2 linked regions of the Solanum lycopersicum genome follow. The main gene of each other region encodes a partner of the protein of the gene in region 2 in a complex. Links are inferred from orthologs where the notes say so. Each region holds a gene or a part of one and is shown on either strand. Other genes may lie near its edges. The genes, in order: kinetochore protein SPC24 homolog and kinetochore protein NDC80 homolog.

Region 1 (10,029 bases), on a different chromosome or scaffold from region 2:
ATTGATCCTTCGAAACTCCTTCCTGGTTGGCAAATCGATGTGAGAATAATGAACTTGGAGAAAGATATTGCTGATTTGAATATGCATATAGGTGAGGAAGAAGTTGCCGAATTGACTAGGCATATAGGTGATCAAAAGATTACACAAAAGAGAAAACTTGGTGAGACTGAGTCCTCTGGTAGTTTCAGCAACAAAGAAATGAAACCCTCGCTTTTTCCAAATCCAAATCCATGGCCTCCACAACAACATAGAGTTGTTAATCATGTTGATGACAGCAACAGCACCTTGTTAGAACGCAGTGGAACTGCCAGCCAAATTTATGGTTATTCTCTGGCCCCGTCGGTATTGCATCAAACTGTTGCAGGCTCAATACATCAAAATGCTGTTGGCTCACTGGCAGGACCTGTGGGAGGTGTTGTGGCCATGGATGGAGCTGGAGCAGGTAATTTAGTGAAAGGAGGTTCATGTGTTGGAGTTCATGGAGGGACTCTAGTTGATCATACACCTAGTCAAATAGGAAGTCATACTGGTCAGTTATATGGACCCCCTGGTGATGCACACACCTATGCTTATAGGTCGCCATCCTACTTTGAAGCATCGGGCTCTATGGGGTTGCCAAACACCATGCCTGGTGATGCTTATAGGCCTCCACCATATTTGGAAGGCTCTATGGGGTTGCCAAACAACATACCGGGTGATGCTTATAGGCCAAACCAATACATGAAATGCTCCAACGGCTTGCAAAAAAACATATCTGGTGATGCTAATCAGCCTCCACCATACATGGAAGGCTCTGCACGGTTGCCAAACACCATACCTGCACCATATCAGTTTGCTGATTCTGTTCCATCTGCTGCCCTTGCTCATCCTTCACCCTCCTTGTACTGGAAGAGATAGTTTTGCATTGGGCAGGCATTATTTCTAACGTAGTTTCCCTTTTGTAGTATACCCAATCTAGAATTGATCTCGCACGCATGGTCTTGGAGAAGGTTGTAGTTCATTAGCTACTATAAAGCTCTGGTGAATGTTCGGCCTAGCATAGTGATGTCTAAATTCTACCTGGAAAACTTTCATTTGTTTGGAAAGATTTCAAAAATTACAATAATTTTTTAAAGAGGTAAAAGAGATAAATAACTTATCGACTTCCCTTTGGTTTCTCCTCCCTTCCAACAAACATGATCTTCTAACAATCTTGTTTTCCCTTTTCCTCATCCAGTCCAGCAGGTCACAATGGTTCCTTGGAAAACCCAAGGTCGTAGGTTCAATTCCTCAAACACGCATCTTCCTTTTTTCCTAGTGTGACATTCTTGTAAATTTTCGCCTGAGATGAGATTAAATGAAGAAACAAGAATCGTGAGGATACATATGATGTTTGTTGTTTTGATGGTCTGTTCAATTGTTGACTGTGGGCATGTGCACTTGTATATGTTGTTTGTCTCTCTCTCCATTCTTACGAGTAAGTGTTGGACCTGCATCTTTTTATTTGCTCCGTTGATGTTATGAAATGATATAGTTCTTGCATTTAGCTTAAATGTGTCAAAATTTTAGATTTTAGTCTACCCAAGGTTGTAGTTTATTGCTTGGTGTGAATTGTTTGATCTTTGGCCATCAGCCTTTGAGTCTGACATGATTTGCATATCTATTGTCTAGAAGATATATTCTGAAGTTGACCTTCGACTTATGAATCAATCCTTTTGATTTGGGATTTGGGGGATCAATTTTAATGTTTGTTTCTATGTTGCTTAGGTAGGTGGTCGAATGTGTTATGTTTCAATTGCTGTGATGTAGAACAGCTGAAGGTGGTTGAGTATGTTATATTCAATTTCTTTTATTCCTAACTTCGCATTTTAGTTTATGGGCTTGCAGATATGCATCATATGGAAACCACATTTACTTGATTTGTTTTATTTCTGTGTTGAAGTTTGACTTCATTTAAGTGTCACCAAATGTCTGTTTTTATATGCAGTTCAGCTGTTACAATATTTTTGTTGCTCCTGAAGTCAAATTTTTTGCTTGTTCATAAATGCACCTTTACATTTCCTTCTGGTTACAGGGGGAGTCTCTGCCTTTGTGAGCTTGCTCACATTGTAGGTCCTAAGTAGACAACCAACAGTCATTATAATACAAGATAAGATGGGCTAAGATGCATTGACACAGACGGTGAGAATTTACTCAAACAGATCTCAACTTGCTCAGATTGAAGTTTAGTTGTTTTTTTTTGTTACGGGGGGAGAGATTGATGGGCAAACCTTGGCCTGAACACTGATTGTGAGAATTTGCATCTGTTTCCACTGTTTTTTACACAGCATTTGTGACTTTTGGCTTGAATGAGATGTATAAGAGAGACAACAGATCAACTATTATGTATGAATTGAAATTGGGATATCAGCAATGCCCCAGATATAGTCATATGAGAATTTGTAGCATATTTCTTTCTTGTAACATTTATGTAAAATCTTACAGCTTCCTATTGATCTCCACAATGCATTTTGTACTTTTACAATTGCTTGAATGGCCATATGAGGTATAAAATCTTCATAATGTTTAACGTGCTAGCTCGACTCTCTTATCATACTGTTGCTGTATTTAGTGTGGTGAAATATGTGAGCAATTCTTTCAATGTAATGGAATGATGATGGAATATTGAGAAAAGCTTGCGCAGTTACATATCAATGTTGCAAATTGGATTTTGCTACCTAGCAAATGTTATTAGTTGATTTTCTCCAATTTATAACTTTACAGACTGAGACTTGTGAAAGCATTAGAAATGATTTGGATTCTGAAACAACAAATATCATGTACAAAATACAAGATTATACTTCAAATGAAACACACTATAATGCAAAATGGCAATGATATCTAGTATGATTAGATTAAAAATCTGATCAGCAAAGGCAATAAGGTACTCTTAACAATGCAAGTCATAACTAAGCCTGAGCAATGCTGCTTCTTACAAATTAATCATCTTCCAGATGTTGTTACAAGTGTCAAAGGCAGTTTGATTTGATGAATCAAACTCGAAATTTTCAACCACCTTCTTATCTCTCTCCACAATATCTAGAATAGGTCAAGGTGAACTAAATTGCTGCACAATCTCGAAAAAACAGACACAAGGTGAATTTAGAAAAGGATAAGAAATGTTAGCTTAGCAAACAAAGTAATTAGGATACGGCCTGATATTTTGGATTGATCATCCAAGTCCGGGATGATACTTGTGACAGAAGCATACAGTGATAGCTTCATCCTACAAAATAAGATGAGAAAATTGCTCAAAATTAAACAATATACGTGAAACAGCCCTTAAAGAAGATGCATTACAAACAATAGTAGCTAGAGAGAGACAAGGAAAGATCACACTAAATATTAACACAAATTACCAAACATCAATCGCACACTGGGAATAAAACTTTCATACTAAGCATTTTAAAGAGAAAGAAAGAGGAAAAGGAACTTTCTGGATAAAAACACTGGTATCCCTGCAACAGGATATTCTGCGAGCGGCTGTGTGTCTACAGAGTGTAAGCTTCTAAAGAAAAAAAGTAAAACGTCTAATAAATTTCAATCCTCGCATGATGTTCATGTAAAACTGCAGCAGAGGTAAACCTTAAAAAATTACTACTCCTTCAGTTCCAAAATTAGGTGATATAGTTTGAATAGTCATAGAGTTTAAAAGAGAAATCAAGACTTCCTAAACTTGTGGTCTTAAACATGTCATAACATTTGTGTCTATAGAACTTTTGAAACTTGTGGTCTTAAAAATGCCATAAAATCTGGATGGTCATAAAAGCTTTTCATTAAGGGTCAAATGGGAAGTGTAAAGTTAATTGTTTACAAATTTAGAAATGTGTTATTCTTTTCGGAACGGGCTAAAAAGAAAAGTGTATCCCATAAAGTGGGAAGGAGGGGTATGTTTGGTTGCGTCCAGACAAAGTCAAATCAGGTGTATATTCAATTTGTAGAAATACTTAGTTGGGCGATAGTTACACCTAGACATCCAAAGATGTAATGTGGTAGAACTTGGTCGCACCAGATGGGATGTTAATGGACTATCTTAACAGTGATTGGCATATGGCAGATACATTCAAATATGTGTACCATGTTGCAATATGGAACTGAGTAGGCAAATTATCCACAGAATATGATGAAAACATGTCAGACCCTCCCAACCTCTTGAGATACTTTGACAGCATAAAGTTGCAAAAGCTTAACGAGTCAACATATCAATATCTTTTTCTTTTTTGATGACCGAGAAACCTCAAGGGCCAGCAGGCACGGTTTGAACTTAGAGGATGAGGAGGAGTCAACAAATGCCACGATGGGATTGTTTCAACGAAATTTGTAGAAGTATGTTGGAAGCAAATGCCTGACATAATCATAAACATATTAAAGTACAAGAGGTTATGATTACTTACTCAGCTCGAAGATGATCTTGCTCAATTTTCTTGAGCAATTTCCTGTGCTCCTCAATAGAGTCTCTTTGGCGATCTAAATCATTGATCTCATCGGTTATAACTGTGTTTAAAAAAGGTGTCAATCAGTAAGCATAACACTAAATTATCTGAGAAATACAAATTCATGCATCTAACGTTGTTTAATATACTTATCTAAGTTCTTCTCTAAGCAGTTGTTCTCTCTGGATCTCCTGTTCTAACTCTTTCTGCAGCTTATCTATTTCAGCCTCTGCAGCAGCTTCAGATTGTGCTTCTGTTGTTCTCTGCTTACATGCATTTATCTTTCCTTGATAATCTGAGTGTATGCAATGACTTGAAATTAGTCATTTAATACTTTCAAATTCACAAATCCGAACATCTCCCAGTACAATCATAAATTAATGCTTGAACAAAGACACTTAATACCAACATAATTCCAATTTCCAACTTATTTAATAAGAAAAACAACATGTATGTCTGAGGCCAGAGAGAAATCATAGGAGCAGGGTTGGGCCCTCGAAAGGAACCAAAGTAGTGGTCTGTTGAGCTAATCATTAAACTAGACACACGTACTGGGCCTCTACATATTTTTGCATTATAATTGGCTAAAAGGACTTCAACTCGGAAACAAACTGCACCAAAAGTAGAAATATCACCAAAACTATCAGGAATAAGTAGGTAATAGCACCAATTTTTACACTATATATAGTACATTCCAAAAAAATCTCATGAGGGTTGGCGTGAGAGGATCCAGATTCCAGCAGTAGTACTCATGAAGGTATAAAAGACAGAGACAGAGACTCCACACTCCCCAAAATGTTACTAATAAAAGAAACATCCAGAAATGACGATATTTTGCAAGAAGAAATTTTGACCTGACACTCCAGTAAGCTAGCAAACAGAAAATGGTGTTTCAGGTCAACGTTAAGAGACTTATCCACTAATAATTGGTACTAAGAAAAAGAATCATCCAGATGCAAGAACATTGTAAAGTTTGTCTACATTGATTCAAAATTCCAATCTTACGCCGAGTTTTTTTTTCACTACATAGTTTTTAAGGATCCAGGAAGATCCTATTGCGTCGTGGTGACCCTGAGGTTTGAACTATGCACTGTGGTTCAACTTACAGCCTCAAGGCAGATGTCCCTTGGGTTCAATCTTTAAACTAATTAAACTAATAAGAAGTTGATTCAACCCCCATTTTTCTCTTTCATTAAAGGAATGTTACTGAATGAAACATCCAAAAAAGATATCACTAAAAAGCAAGGTTTCAAGTGTAAAGAAGTATCTATAAAGCAGAAGTGCTACGAGGAGTAAAGAAACTGCATTAAACAGCAAAGCACATTGTAAACTCAGTCTATATCAGATTAAAAGTTGCAATCTTTAAGCCAATGTTTTTTCTCTCTCACATTGTTCATAGGAAGTAGGGAAGGTCCAGTCAGGCACTACTAAGCTAGTATGAGTGACACCACCGAGATCTGCAGCTTAAATTGTAACCTCCTGACCAGTAGGTTGTCTCTTGGGATAATCCATTAGCTAAGGGAGCATTTGGCCATAAAATTCAACTTGCATTTTCAAGAATTTGAAAAACACCAAAAACTTTCTTCACTCCAAATCAATCATAAAAATTCAGAAACAACCCAGAATTTGTATTCATGGCCAAACCCAACTCCAATTTTCAAATACTCACAATTTTCATGGCCAAATGCTTCAAGTAAACACAGAAAGAGGTTCACTTAGTAACCATCCTACCATTTCCAAAACAAAAATATCAAAATTCAACAGTAAGAACATTATACACACAATTCCAAAGGTTCAATCTTGAAGCTAACTTATTCTTTATCACATAGTCTTATGACTCTGAGGATTGGGGAGATCTCCAACTGAGAAAGATTCAAACTTTAAGCCACTAAGAAATTCAACAAACCCTCAATTTTACAAAATTAAAAACGAAATACAAGAACCCCACCTTGAATGGAATTCTGAAGAGCCTGGTACTCAGATTGGCAGTGTGATTGAAGGGCATTAAATTGCTCTTTACACTGATTCAAGAAGCTGACATCTTTATCTTCTTTCAAAAACTGAACAAGATCCTTACTGAAGGAGATCAGCTTCTCTACATCCACGTTATTCGACCCATCCACCATTTTCGACCTCTCCAGACCAAAGTTTAGGGCTTTTTTCTCCCTCCGAATGTAGTAATTTGAAAAGAAGAATGATTAGCGGAGTTCACAGAAAAATAGAACTCCTCCCTCCCGTTAAATTATACTATGTACTTTGTTACGTTTATTATTTTATTAAATTATTTTAAAAAATAATTTGATAAATAATATTATCATATTTAATTTGACTAATTTTTAAAATGAAATGAAATTATATTGATTTAATAATTAAATAAATATTAAAAGTATTATAAATTGCAATATCTTACCTATCTGATGAAAAATCAGTGAAATGTGAGTTAAACATACATCTTCGTTACATTTTTAAGTCGAATTAACCTTTTAGCATAAATTTATGTTTGATTTTGATAATTTAAGTATATTTTTATTAAAATATTTTACTATACTAGATAATTGAAGGCCCGTTCACGTGCTTAATATAATTAATTATCTTTTCAATTTTAATTTAAAATTTTTATCTAAATTCATATCTTATTTTATTATATTTTTTAAAATTTTCTACCATTTAAAAAAATTACAAAAATTCTCTCAGCTACGTTCTTATCCTCTGTGTACATCAATATCTCCTCTCGGATACATCTATATTCTCTCTCGGCATCTTCATCCCCTCTTTAATATATCTCTATCCTCTCTTGGATACATCTCTCTCCTTTCAGATACACCTATATTCCCTCTCGAATACATTTCTTCTCTCTCTGATTCATCCACGAGATATGTTTCTGCAAGTTTTCTGAATAATATCGCGACCGATGTTTTTGCATTTCTGTTGATGAATATATGAACTTTTTGTAATTTAAAAAAGAGTGGAGATACAATGTAATTAACTTTTAACACTATGAAAATTTATGTGGTATATTTTTCTGTGCAGTCAATTTCAAAAGAATAACGTATCAATATATTTAATAACATTTTGACTTCAAAAATATTCATTTTATTCTTAGTAAGATGATTTAAAATCATATGAACATCTATGGCTAGTTTTAAACTACAACAAAAAGTGTTTTTTTTTAAAAAAAAGAAAATACTTCATGTTAAAGTCAAATAAACATTACATAAATCAAAATGAACTAACTGACTACAAACTTTAGATCAATTTTATATTTATGAAATTTAAGTTTTTGTAACTATTTTGCCTTTTAACAAAATTTAAAATGAAAATACTAAAGTTTTTTTCACAATTATTTTTATAGTAATTTTTTTTAACAATATTTTGTCGATAATATCAAAATTGTAATAAAACAAGATAATAAAATAACTTAACTTTTTTGAAATTCAAGTATTGATATCAATTGAGAAAACATTTATTTTAAAGTTATAAAGCATTTATAATCTAATATTTGATGCGCTCCTTGCCCTCGACGAATGACACTATCTTATCATAAGAAGTAAAATCAAAATTAAAAAGTGCAGCTCACTATTATATGAAAGTCATTATGAGTTAATTGCCACTCGTTAGAATATGTCATATGTTAATTGTCATAATGAAACAACATGAAAATTATAAGAGATAATTTATTTATAGTTGAAAATTATTTATAAAAAATGAATCACAAATTATATATCAAAATATGTTTATGTCATATACATATTAATGCAAAGAAATTTCATACTATAAATTAATTTACTTATTTTAATATGTAATTTATTTTATTATGAAAATTTACAAATTTGATGTTTTATGAATTGGTATGAAGATTTTTATATGTCTTCATGGAAAGTAGTTCTTTATTTTATAATATAGAGGAATATTACTTAAAATAAGTTATCACGTCAATTAACCATATTAGTTGTAATATATTAATATAATTTTTTTAGAAGAAAATCACGTAAATCAATTTTCTAGGTCTTGACAAATCAGTAATTTTGAATTACCTTTAGATTTATAAAAATCATTAGTATGTTGTAAAAACAAAAATTTATCCTACATTTGGTTAATAGATATTTTTGATTTAATGAAAATTTTATTACTATATAAAAAATAAATCTATAAGAAGTGTAACATTTCATTAAAATAGACTAATTATTAGTCTATATTCGAAAAAATTTAAGAAAAAGTGTAATTGAAAATGTGTGTTCATATTAGATGTCACGTCATTAAGATAAATATGACATTTAGAAAAACATATTTGATTGGTTGGTCATTACAAATCTATTATCACTTTTTTGATATCATAATACAGAAACCAACATTCTAGAATTTTTATAAATTGATAAATTTATCCTTAGTCGTCCTCAACTTAGCTCTTCTATATAATAGAAAAGAAACTGATATATTTTTAAATGAAATGTATCTCTCTCTCATTATATTGAAGCATGACTGACAAATTTGTTTACAAATTAAAAATTTACATAGTCTCGTAATTAGACTTTCTGTTATAAATTATAATCGTAAATATAAATTTATTGGATGCTAATTAATATTTTTATCTAAAAATTATATTAAAATTTAATAAGAAAAATATATTTAGTCCGAAAATATAATACTAACAGGTCGTACATTCTCTCCGTTAGGGCTTTGATTTTTTAATTTTTTTTTCTATTGTCAATTTTTCTCACTCTCCACTACTACAGTGAATACTATGGATAAACCGGCGATTTACAGCGACGGCGACGGGGCTACACCATCATTGACCGATCAATTGTTCGGAGCAGAACAGAAAGATGAAACAGGAAACTCTTCCCGGCAGCAGAAACAGTCGGAATTGCAACAATCTCCAACATATTCTTAGGAATTGATCAATGCCAATTTCTGCAAAATCTCCGACGGTCTCTCGGCATTCCAACGATGCTTTACACCAACATGAAATTAAGTCCTTTTGTGCTACACAATTATGGTAAAACTCTCACAACATCCTGCAGCAATATATCATAGTTGAGATCGAATCAGACAGAAGATTCACCCCTCACCCTGACGTTCGGGTATGGGGAGTTGAGAAGAAGGTGATTGAAGTCTTCCTTTTATCCGGATTAACTCTATTCTGACGCTAATTGTGATTTTGACTCTGCTGTGATACATTCCTCTATTGGATGGATGTGACTTGTGACTTTGCTACGTCCATTCTTCAATTTTGTTGGCTTGACTTTATACCATAAGATACTGAGAATAAACTTTTTATGAGATTAATTAAAACCTACTTAAGGATGAATGATTATAATTAGAGCTCATTTGGGTTTTGTTGTTCATCTTATACTTCTAAGATACTTAGAACAAAATTTTGAAAAATTTGGTAACAAACAACAATGTTTAAAGAGTAATAGAAAATTAAGACTAACAGAGCAAATAGAATGAGAAACTGATTAGGAACAATATAAAAATCTTTTTCTCAAAGAAAGAAAATCGAGTTCACTGAATGCACAATGTCCCCTTAAAGAAATTATTCCCCTCAAGTATTCGAGGTTAACGGAATATATTCTCC
Region 2 (9,828 bases):
AAACAAAGGAAGGAGGGCCGCTTCTGGCTATGGAGCCAAGTATACATAGAAAACCACACCTAGGATTTTTGAACCCCCTTTGCGACCACATCAGAATCTTCATTCAACAACGGTTTCCACCCTACAACGCATTATGGTTTTCTGGCAAAGAGAATTCAATTGAAACTTCGCCACCACCTAGCTACACCCCTAGTTCTCGCCTATAGTGCACATTGTATTATTTAAAAGATTTTCTCAAGTCAGTGAATGCTAAATACCCACTGGCTAATTCTTTGTGCTAGTGGAGAGAGTTTGTATGACATGAATTTGTTACTAACTATGACATTGTAAATCGTGCACTGGACTTGACCACTAGGATTATGCATCTGATGAAAAGAGTTGCTTACAGTAAATTTCCTTTTGGAGTGGGATACAGGACTAATTAGCACAAAGGATGAAGTGAAAAACAACTAGCTCAAGGATTAAGATACCTAACTGCATGAGACTAATCACTAGTCACAACTCACTGGAAAGAGTTTTTATAATCAGGAGCCGTTGGCCTTCTTATTCTTACCTCCCTAGTCCATACCTATTTCGTAGTATGTTCACTAGGAAACTTGCACCAGAGACAAGTTACATGTAATGAACTTACTTCATCCACTTAGTATAAGGCGAAGTTCTAGTGTAATGACAAAGGTGACTTAAAAATATTGGTTTAGGCAGCAGAATCAAAACCTTGTTAAATTTCCTACCTTTGTCCCCTCCTCAAAACTCCAAGGATTGAGTGTTAGTTTAACTAAAAGCAGTACAGAGTTCAGAAAGGAGCTTACGCAAGAAAGAGTCTGTAAAGCAAGATATTGGTTGTTCAAACCACAGGCTTGAGGGACTTGTGATATAGGTTATTCGGCAAGAGCTTAGCACCAAAACTAAGCCTAGTATTTAGAAGGGTGTGCCTATTATTCACGAGTTTCAAAGGCTACGGTTGATCCTAAAGGTCTGCTCCATGTGGAAAAATAATCGAAACAATGGCTAGTCTAAAATTGAATATTCCGAAGAAATGTCGGTAGTTAAAGAAAATTAACAAAAAGGGAAAAGAGGAAAGTCTCTGTCAATATAAGGAGGTGTTTATGTACACCAGGCTCTAATAGTAGGTGGAGAAATTGTACTGTCTCAACTCCTACTAAAGTATTGAGCAGCTCTAATGAATCCAAAAAACTACGACAATATCCCTAATCAATGCAGAATATAGTACTCAACGTTAAGAGTATGATCAGCGTATATTCTACTCTTCTCATATTATAATTATATGATTACACTGAATAAGCTGAGCAAAATTTCAAATCAGTTTTCTACTAGGTGAGAAAATGAAGAAACAAAAACATAAAAAATGGCAGTTTGTGTAGACAATAATGACCTAATAACTTGGACATGACAGGCAAAAATGGGTCCCTCTATCTATCACCATTATTTGTTTGTATTACTATCCGGACAAAAGCTTAGAGCAAATCATCCACCGCTAATTAATTATCCCTCCAATTTATACAAAATGTTTTCTAGCCCTTTTTTTTCTTCCATAAGGTCATGTCATTTATATATTCATAGTAAAAAGATTTATTTATTAAGTAACTAAATTATTATAGCAATTTAATACATACAAAACTCCCGTTCCAACCGATTCACAAAACCAAATACAAATAAAGTAGAATGGATAATACTAACCTCTACACCAGGTGAAGTAAAACCAAGGATTCGAATCTTAGCTCCGACATCACCCAATACCCGTAACTCGACCCGGTCATTCAAGGCGGCGTCACGAATCAAATCTGCTGCGTCAGCTTGGAGCAAGTTAACCCGATCCACAACGATGGTAGTTTCAACCCGCTTAACACTATGAGCTGGCTGGTAGAACGCGGGTACGGAGCCCCGACCCAGAGGAATCCCACGGTACATGATCGTGAACCGGGACTCACCGTACTTGATCCCTACTTTATTATCATTGAAAGCAGTGAAAACCATACGAATATTGAGTGAAACAGAGGCGGAGGAAGTTGCAATCGCAGCTGGATTAGGTGTAATTCCGACGTATTGAACACCCACTTGCTGAAGATCGAACTGGGGTTTTTTAGGCTTGACGGCAAGTACAATAACAAGTATAACAGCTAGAATGAGGAGAAGTAAGAAGGAAAAGAGTAGAAATAGGCAACAACAACAACCTTTAAATGAAGCTTTAGATGATGAAGAAGAAGTAGGATGAGGGTAATATTGAGGATGATGGTGGGTGCCATTAATACCATTTTGAGTTAATCTTGAGGTCATATTGTTTTTTGTTGTTGAAGATGAAGAAAGAATTAGAATAAGATTGAAGGAATAATTTGTACTGTATTAAGACCCACCACTCTCTTCTCTCTAATCCCTTTTTCAACTTTGCTTTGCTTTAGGAGAGAGTGAAGATGGAGGGAGGGACAATAGTGTGTGTGTGTGTGTTTGCTTGGAATTGAAAAAAGGTGGCATCAAAGTGGGGTAATTTTTTGACTTTGCATTCTTGCCATTATTGTTTTTGGTTCTTTCTTTCTCTTTCCCCTTTGTTCTTTACTAATTGTATTACTTATTAAATCTTTTATTTATTTGGAAATTTGAAAAGAAATTATAGGGTTAGATTTATTTCTATTTATTCTAATTTTAATGGACATGGTTAATTACCCTAATATGATAGTTATTGTCAGTGGAAGGTAATATTATTTTATGAAATTATTTGAGGTGGATGAAGATTGATATGAATATTATAGTTGTTAAAAAAAAGGAGAAATAATGATTAGAAAACATTGATTTGAATGATGAAAAAAGTTATTAATATTTATATTAAGATATATTGTAGTAGTTATTTTTATATGATTAGTTTCAATTATAAATGAGTTATTAATATTTGTATTAAAAATAACTTGACTGTTACTAGAATTTTATTTAATATTACATTGTTCATGACGGTTTGATAGAAAATAAGATTATTTTCACGTTATTTTAAATATTTTTATTTTATATTTATGTCTTTTAGTATACTTACATATTCGTTTTCATATTTTTATTTTCGTCACTCCATCTTTCAACATGCGAGTTTTTGACTAACTAGTATTTTGCTTTTTACATCAAAATCGTTCTCTAATATAACTATCATTTTGTAATTAATTTTAAAATTTTTGGTGATATATATCTACTTATCACACAAAACTCTATAGACGACCATTTTAACTCCTTTTTTTTTTTTAATTTTGTTTAAATAGCGTAGAATCTCAAATTTGAACATTTACCCAGCTTATTTCATGTCTAGTTTAAATTACTAGTTAATTCTAAAATATCTTTTATACTAATAATAATGAAACTAATTAAAAGTGTTTATTATTGTAAAAGTAAATAGACGTTTAACTAATACTGAAATCTTTTCTATTGTGATTAATTAAGAGAAGCTTTATTAATGAAAAGTTAATCACGTTATTGGAAAGGGAGAGATCTATTAGATGATAAAGTGGCACATCATGATATATATATTTATTTATATATAGAGAGAATACGAAGTGTTATAAATAATATAAGTTTAATTGATTTATTAAAATGGAATAGAAGGAGGAAATTTTAGGTAAACTTTTTTTTCTTTGCCAACATGACCCTTCTACCTCCCTCTGTTAAACGATAATTATTTATCATAGTCTTCAGACAAATATTTAAAAGTAATAAATAATTGATGAAATTTTATCAAATTATTTTAATAATATTTCTTCCATTTCAATTAATTAAATTGATGAGATATTTCATACATTTAAGATTTTTTTTTAATATAAATTAAGCATAATTTTTTATTTTTACTCTTATTAATTATTATTAAATTTATAATTAAAATAATTAAATATTAATTAATAATTAATTTCAATATTAACTAATGAAAGGTAAAATTGGAAGAACATTATAATAATAGTTTTGAAAATTAAACAATTAAGTTAATTGTAAAATAAGAAAATGTTTTAACAATTCAATTAATTTGAAATGAAGGGAGTTCAAAATATTAAAAAAATAAAAGTAATATTTAATAATAAGAACAAAATAAATACAAAAGAATAAATTATTGATTAATTTTATAAATCAGACAAGTATCATTTAAATTAAATTAAGCAAAAGGTAACATGCAATACCTTTTTAGGTAAATAAACTACTCCTTCAACTTTGACGAAAATCAATGTTTAGTTGACAAATTTAAAGGATTGAAATTTATAGGCCTACGTAAATAGATTTTTAAATTTGGTGAGTTTTTTTCCTTAGATATCTTAACTATATCATTTTTTTATTAAATTATTGAATCATTCATAATTTGTTCTTTTAGAATATTGTTAGTTGATTTTGATCGGCTTTTTAATTGTAAATGTTTTCAATTGTGTTCGAATTGTAATAATTTTGATTGAAGAAATAAAGATAAAATCGTGTTTGTCTCATTTATTTTCTAATGTATTCAAATGACCTAAATAAAATACAATTGTTCTCGAATATTTTCATTATTAATTGAACTAATGAATTGTGAAACAACGTATGTATCCTTTATTAATATCCTTTAAAAATCTGATTTCACATCAGATATGAAAATTTTAATTATTTAATAGGAAAATAACGTAGTTGAGATATATGAGGGGTGAAAATCCAACATGATACGTCTATTTGGCCAAATTTATAAACAGCATAATTAAAAAACAATTAAACCGAAATTCTAATTGAAATGCCGCCATTACTCATTTTCCAATTTCAAAGCAGAAACACAAGTACCTTTCACTAGCCACCGAGATCAAGCAGCAGTTTACTCAACAATGAGAGGCGCCGGACGCCGTCGTACCAATTCTGCAGTGCCGGATCGCCGTCATCCACCACCGACTCCGATAAACGACCCAAGGCAATTTATCTCCACTGGCGGGCGTGATTCCGACGCAAGCTTCGCCAGTAGCCGGCCTTCATCTGCCGGTGTAAACACTCGGTCCTCCGCTATCCCCATCTCTGACCGCTCCTATCAACTCTCTGCTCTGCGTACAATCAATGCTTACCTTTCCTCCCACTCTCTCCCTTTTACTCTCAAACATCCTCTCCCTTCTGCAAAAGATATCACCGAAACCCTAAAATTCATTCTCTCTCGTTTCGGATTTTCCTTAGCAGAGTCGCATAAACTCGAAGATGATCTCCAAACCCTACTGAAATCCCTAAATTGCCCCGTGAAATTGAACAAATCTGCATTACGCGCCCCTGGGACGCCTCATTCCTGGCCTAGTCTACTTGCAGCAATTCACTGGCTTGTTCAGCTATGTAAATTTGATGATTACCGGATGAGTTCGGCTCAACCACTAGCTCCGAGTAATAAGGAATTGAGATATACTGTAGAGAGTTATTTGCATTACTTTAGGGGGAAAGATGATCAAGTAGATGAATTGGATCGCCAATTTATGCAAGAGTTGGAACAACATAAGGAGCGGTTGGTTGAGGATGTGAATGTCTTGGAGGAGAATGTGAAGGCTCAAGAGGAAAAGTTGGAAGAAATGAAGACAGGACCATCGGAAAGAGAGACGTTGGAGAAGGAGAAGAGTGCGTTGGAGGAAGATGTAAAGAAGTTTCAGGCTATCATTGAACAGTTAGAAGGGCATATAGTGAAAATGGATAAGATGGTGGAAGAGAAAGAAAAAGGGTTAGAGACTAAGGTTACAGAGAAAGAGAGCATTTGTGCAGAGAATGAGGAGTTGAAGAAGAGGGTGGAGGAACAAGGGATTAATTCCAGGGATGCAGATAGGATGAAGAGGGAGTTGCATGCTTTGGAAAGGGATATTGGGGATATTGAGAACCAGAGGATTGAATGGGAGGAGAAGGCTTGGGACCTCGACTCTGCGATTGGGAACATGTACAAGAAGCTTGAGGAGCTAATGATTGAGTGCAACCAATCTATCAGGAGGTTGTCATTCCCTCTCCTGTTATTTATGTTGTTTGAAATAAGAGTATCTTACTTTCCATTTAACAGCATGAGATTCAATATTTTTCGTAATATAAGTGTTTGTTGTTCTATGAACATGGATATATTGCATTGCTGTGCTATTTTAGTTGGACTAAAGCTATAAGAATATGGCTACTAAGATAAGATTGGAAGGACATTATATTGTTTTCCCTCAATTGATTGTTTCTATCAACATTCACTTAAGTTTAAATGGCCGTTACAACATGATACTGTTAGATTGCTTCTATAATGGGTTCTCGGCAGATAATTTAGGTGACAGATTAATGGGAATGCAATTTGCTGAAAGTTATATGTAAACTGACTTTATATCTGTGCTTCTCAGAGTTTAATTGATTCACTAACTTCCAAAAACATGCCTTTCTTTCTCTAATGGGTAGTGAATTGTTAGCTACGGTGATATATGAGAATCACAATTTAGCCCATTGTTGTAGTGCTGCTCCTCTAAACTTTGACTTGAGATATGAATGAGGAACACTATACTAGTCACAAGGCAATAATGCTAAGATTCTCATCATACCTTTTAGTTATAGATTCTTGAATTTAGTTTTTCCAATCACTCCGGTTAGAAACTAAGGCTGCAGCATGCCTCCATTTTTTAAAGAACAATTGATCCTTCAATGTTGTAGTCTCTGCATTAATTAGATGTATCTTGCCTGACTGGGTGCTATGTTGGAATTGAGTTCTGTATTTCCAGCTATATGACGGTCCTTCATGAAGAATATTTTTTATTCTATATTCATGTTTTTATTGTTGGATTATGCGGCAATTGATGATACACTTTTTGAATTTGGCCAAAGCATGGACGAAAACACCCAAATGCCACTCGGGAAAAAAGATTTTGTGGGAGTGTCTCTATGCAACAATCATTTCTCAGATTTCTGTGCCTTCTTGTTGCTGCTTGAAAAGTTCTTTTCTTTTCCATAGCTTATCAGATTGAACTGTTGGAGCAAATTTTCTACAATTTGATGATTTAGATCATAACTTGGGAGGGGTTAAGATTGTAAGTTTGAAACTAGATCAGTCAAAGTGAGATGGAGCAAGTATATTTTTGTATGTTTTCTGTGGTTTGCGGTGGAACTTTCCTTCTACTTGTTGCTCGTCATCATTTCCTTAATTACTCTGACAACAAACAGCCTCATTTGAAATTTCAGGTTAAAGCTTGGAAATGAATTTCAGTATCAATTGAATCCCCAAGGGTCCTCACCAGCAGAGGTATTAGGTATAAATTACAAAAAAACATTAAAGCCCACTCTTGCATCCTTTGAAGATGAGATGAAAAAGAGTTCCATGGGGAAAATGGAAGAGTTGATATATCTCCAGCAACAGTCATCTGAGAAGGCTATGAAATTAGAGTCAAAGAGGAATCGTCTGGCTACTCTTCAGGCTCACATTGATGATGTAAGTTTAGCCAGCATCCTTTCCCACTATAGAATTGGACACTGGTCCTCTCTCTCTCTCTCACACACACACACGATATTTAATTTTGTATAATATATAACATTTTATCGGAAGTGAATCTGATGACATAATAAGTGGCATTCTATCTTCTAGTGGAGATGCTCTCAGAGTCAGAGGTACCTGCACTATTTGGAAATCAAAAATGCATAAAAAATTTCCCACTTAACTGTTTTAAAATATGTACAAAAGAATGTTTTGGGTAATAATTGATACTTGTAAAATTGTTTATGATCCAAATTTTAGAATGTAATGATTTATCATGCCTCAATGAGCTGAGTTTTGAGTCTCTTCTTTTTATGAAGTGAATTAGTAGTTGATCATTTATATTAGCGCCACTGAACAGCTTCTCTTTGGCCATGGTATATTTGTGTTTCTTTTTCTTCTTGCGTGCATGCGCTGCATGCGTGTCACTGCTTAAATGTTTTGGCCTTTCAGCATTGAATTTGAAAATTAGATAAAGCGATGTTACCATTATTCACAAATTCTAATGGCATAAGGTCTATCAGCTTAAAATATATCTTCTATTAGTCCTTTGGGGACGTATAACGGTGCCTTCAGCCTAATATGGCTATTTGTTTCCTTTTATGATTAATGATAGTTGGAGGCTCAGTTGGACTTGGTAAAGAAGGAAAGACTGGACTTCACATCTAGCTGTGCAATAGAAGCCGGAAGGATAGTTGAAGAAGTTGAAGCAGAAACGCAGAAGTTGGATCAGGTTGAAAGAGAGGCGGCGGACTTCCTGAAGGTAAGGCATTTGCAATTTAGACAAGATTTATACTGTAATGCATGGCTTCTAAATGTCTTCCGACAAATGTTGACTTGTGTGGTTTCTCGTCTTAGATGTATAATCTTCATTTTAATTGGCATCTTTTTCACTTTCAAAGGCGTCCAAGGCCAAATTACAGGAAACAATCGCACAAACTGAGGAAGAAGTGCAGCTGTGTGCCCATGAACTCTTTGCTGTTGTTGATTCAGTTTCAAAATATAAAGAGTATATTACATCAAAAGTTGGCATGATGAAGAATGATCTCGCAGAAGCTGCCGGGACTATAGCAGATCTGCATAAAGCTGGTTTGCCTGTCTCTGACGCAAACCACTGATTCCTCCTGATCTTAAGTACATTATGTTTCTTCGTTTTTACTTAAAATATGGTTATGTTGGTACACCATCCCTTACAAAGGTCTACAAGTGTGTATTCCATGGTATGGTCTTAACAATTGATTAGACTGTTGCTGTGAAGATCTCATTAAGTTCTCGTCTGATCATGCTAGTCACGAAGTTGACATTTGTTATTTTGCCCACTTGTATAGTAGCACAAAATCCAGATTCAGATATGGAACCACAAGAAACTTAACTGACAACACCACGGAACACGTAGCATTTAAATTTATTGCATGTCATAAACTTTCCATGAATAATGATGTCATTAAAAGTACGTTGTGTCAACCCTGACTGAAGCAATTCTATTATGCATATAGTTCAATCTGAGAAAACTGCAGCTATAGATTTTCCTTAATTATGTCCATTCAGAAGCTTAGCAGGTTGACAAGTAGTGCATCTTCATACTGAATCTCAACCTTGGCCAATTAATCTTCACATGAGTACAAATAAAACATTCAAATATAGGTGTGTATTTGAGAGAAGTAACTTTCTTTTTCTTACTGATAAATACTACGAATAAGACACTCAGCTGATACAACAAAATCGGAAGGTTTAACATAAATAAAAGTAATCCTCATAGCGGAGCTCAGCATGACACATATAGCTGCCACAAAAGCCAACCAAACACAAAACACCACTTCTTATAAAAGCCCATTTCCTGACTAAACCTTTACGGAGATGAAAGATCCATATCTACTGCTCATCATTGTTATCAATCCGTGGATCACCATTGCCTGCATCAACTTTCACATTTTCATCACTCCTCTGGTTATTCTCATCCACTTCTAGCACATCATCCATCATATCATCCTCCACAACATTGATATCCTCAACATCCTCATCTTCATTGTTGCTGACACCAGGAATCTTTCGAGTCTTGGGTCCACGCTCAAGCCTATGAGTCTCTAGCTCTTTGTCCATAGTCTCTTGAAGGTTTGAAACATTTTTGTTGGCTCTCCTTTCTAAAATATTTTTCCATTCCTCCTCAGCTTTTGCAATATTCTGTTCAGCAATTTTTTTCTGGTATTGCGACAATTCCTCTCTCCTTGCAGCTTTCCATTCCTCGAATATCTGATGAGGAAAAATAAAAGTCAAGTGTCTGTCAGCATAACACATGTCCACATAATCAATAAGTCCTGAGGCTCTTTGATGTGTTTTCTAACACTCAAGTCTCACATGCTCAGTCAACTATAGAATTCACA

What was found.
Region 1: kinetochore protein NDC80 homolog (region 2) and kinetochore protein SPC24 homolog share a complex: the UniProt entries of both Arabidopsis thaliana proteins name them as parts of the NDC80 complex. The link is inferred for Solanum lycopersicum from reciprocal best matches to the Arabidopsis thaliana genes AT3G54630 and AT3G08880.

The regions. Positions count from the first base shown.
Region 1 is NC_090803.1:60,963,103-60,973,131, forward strand, and holds kinetochore protein SPC24 homolog, read right to left. Parts: upstream 6,690-10,029; 5' UTR 6,578-6,689; coding exon 6,400-6,577; intron 4,747-6,399; coding exon 4,604-4,746; intron 4,514-4,603; coding exon 4,413-4,513; intron 3,245-4,412; coding exon 3,171-3,244; intron 3,058-3,170; coding exon 2,951-3,057; 3' UTR 2,751-2,950; downstream 1-2,750. Other genes in the region: protein FRIGIDA-like, read left to right, coding at 1-897. UniProt on the Arabidopsis thaliana protein: Acts as a component of the essential kinetochore-associated NDC80 complex, which is required for chromosome segregation and spindle checkpoint activity to ensure proper cell division. Required for the maintenance of plant architecture.
Region 2 is NC_090800.1:89,051,381-89,061,208, reverse strand, and holds kinetochore protein NDC80 homolog, read left to right. Parts: upstream 1-4,700; 5' UTR 4,701-4,823; coding exon 4,824-5,947; intron 5,948-7,158; coding exon 7,159-7,405; intron 7,406-8,063; coding exon 8,064-8,210; intron 8,211-8,349; coding exon 8,350-8,565; 3' UTR 8,566-8,727; downstream 8,728-9,828. Other genes in the region: NDR1/HIN1-like protein 26, read right to left, coding at 1,699-2,295; uncharacterized protein, read right to left, coding at 9,320-9,697. UniProt on the Arabidopsis thaliana protein: Acts as a component of the essential kinetochore-associated NDC80 complex, which is required for chromosome segregation and spindle checkpoint activity to ensure proper cell division.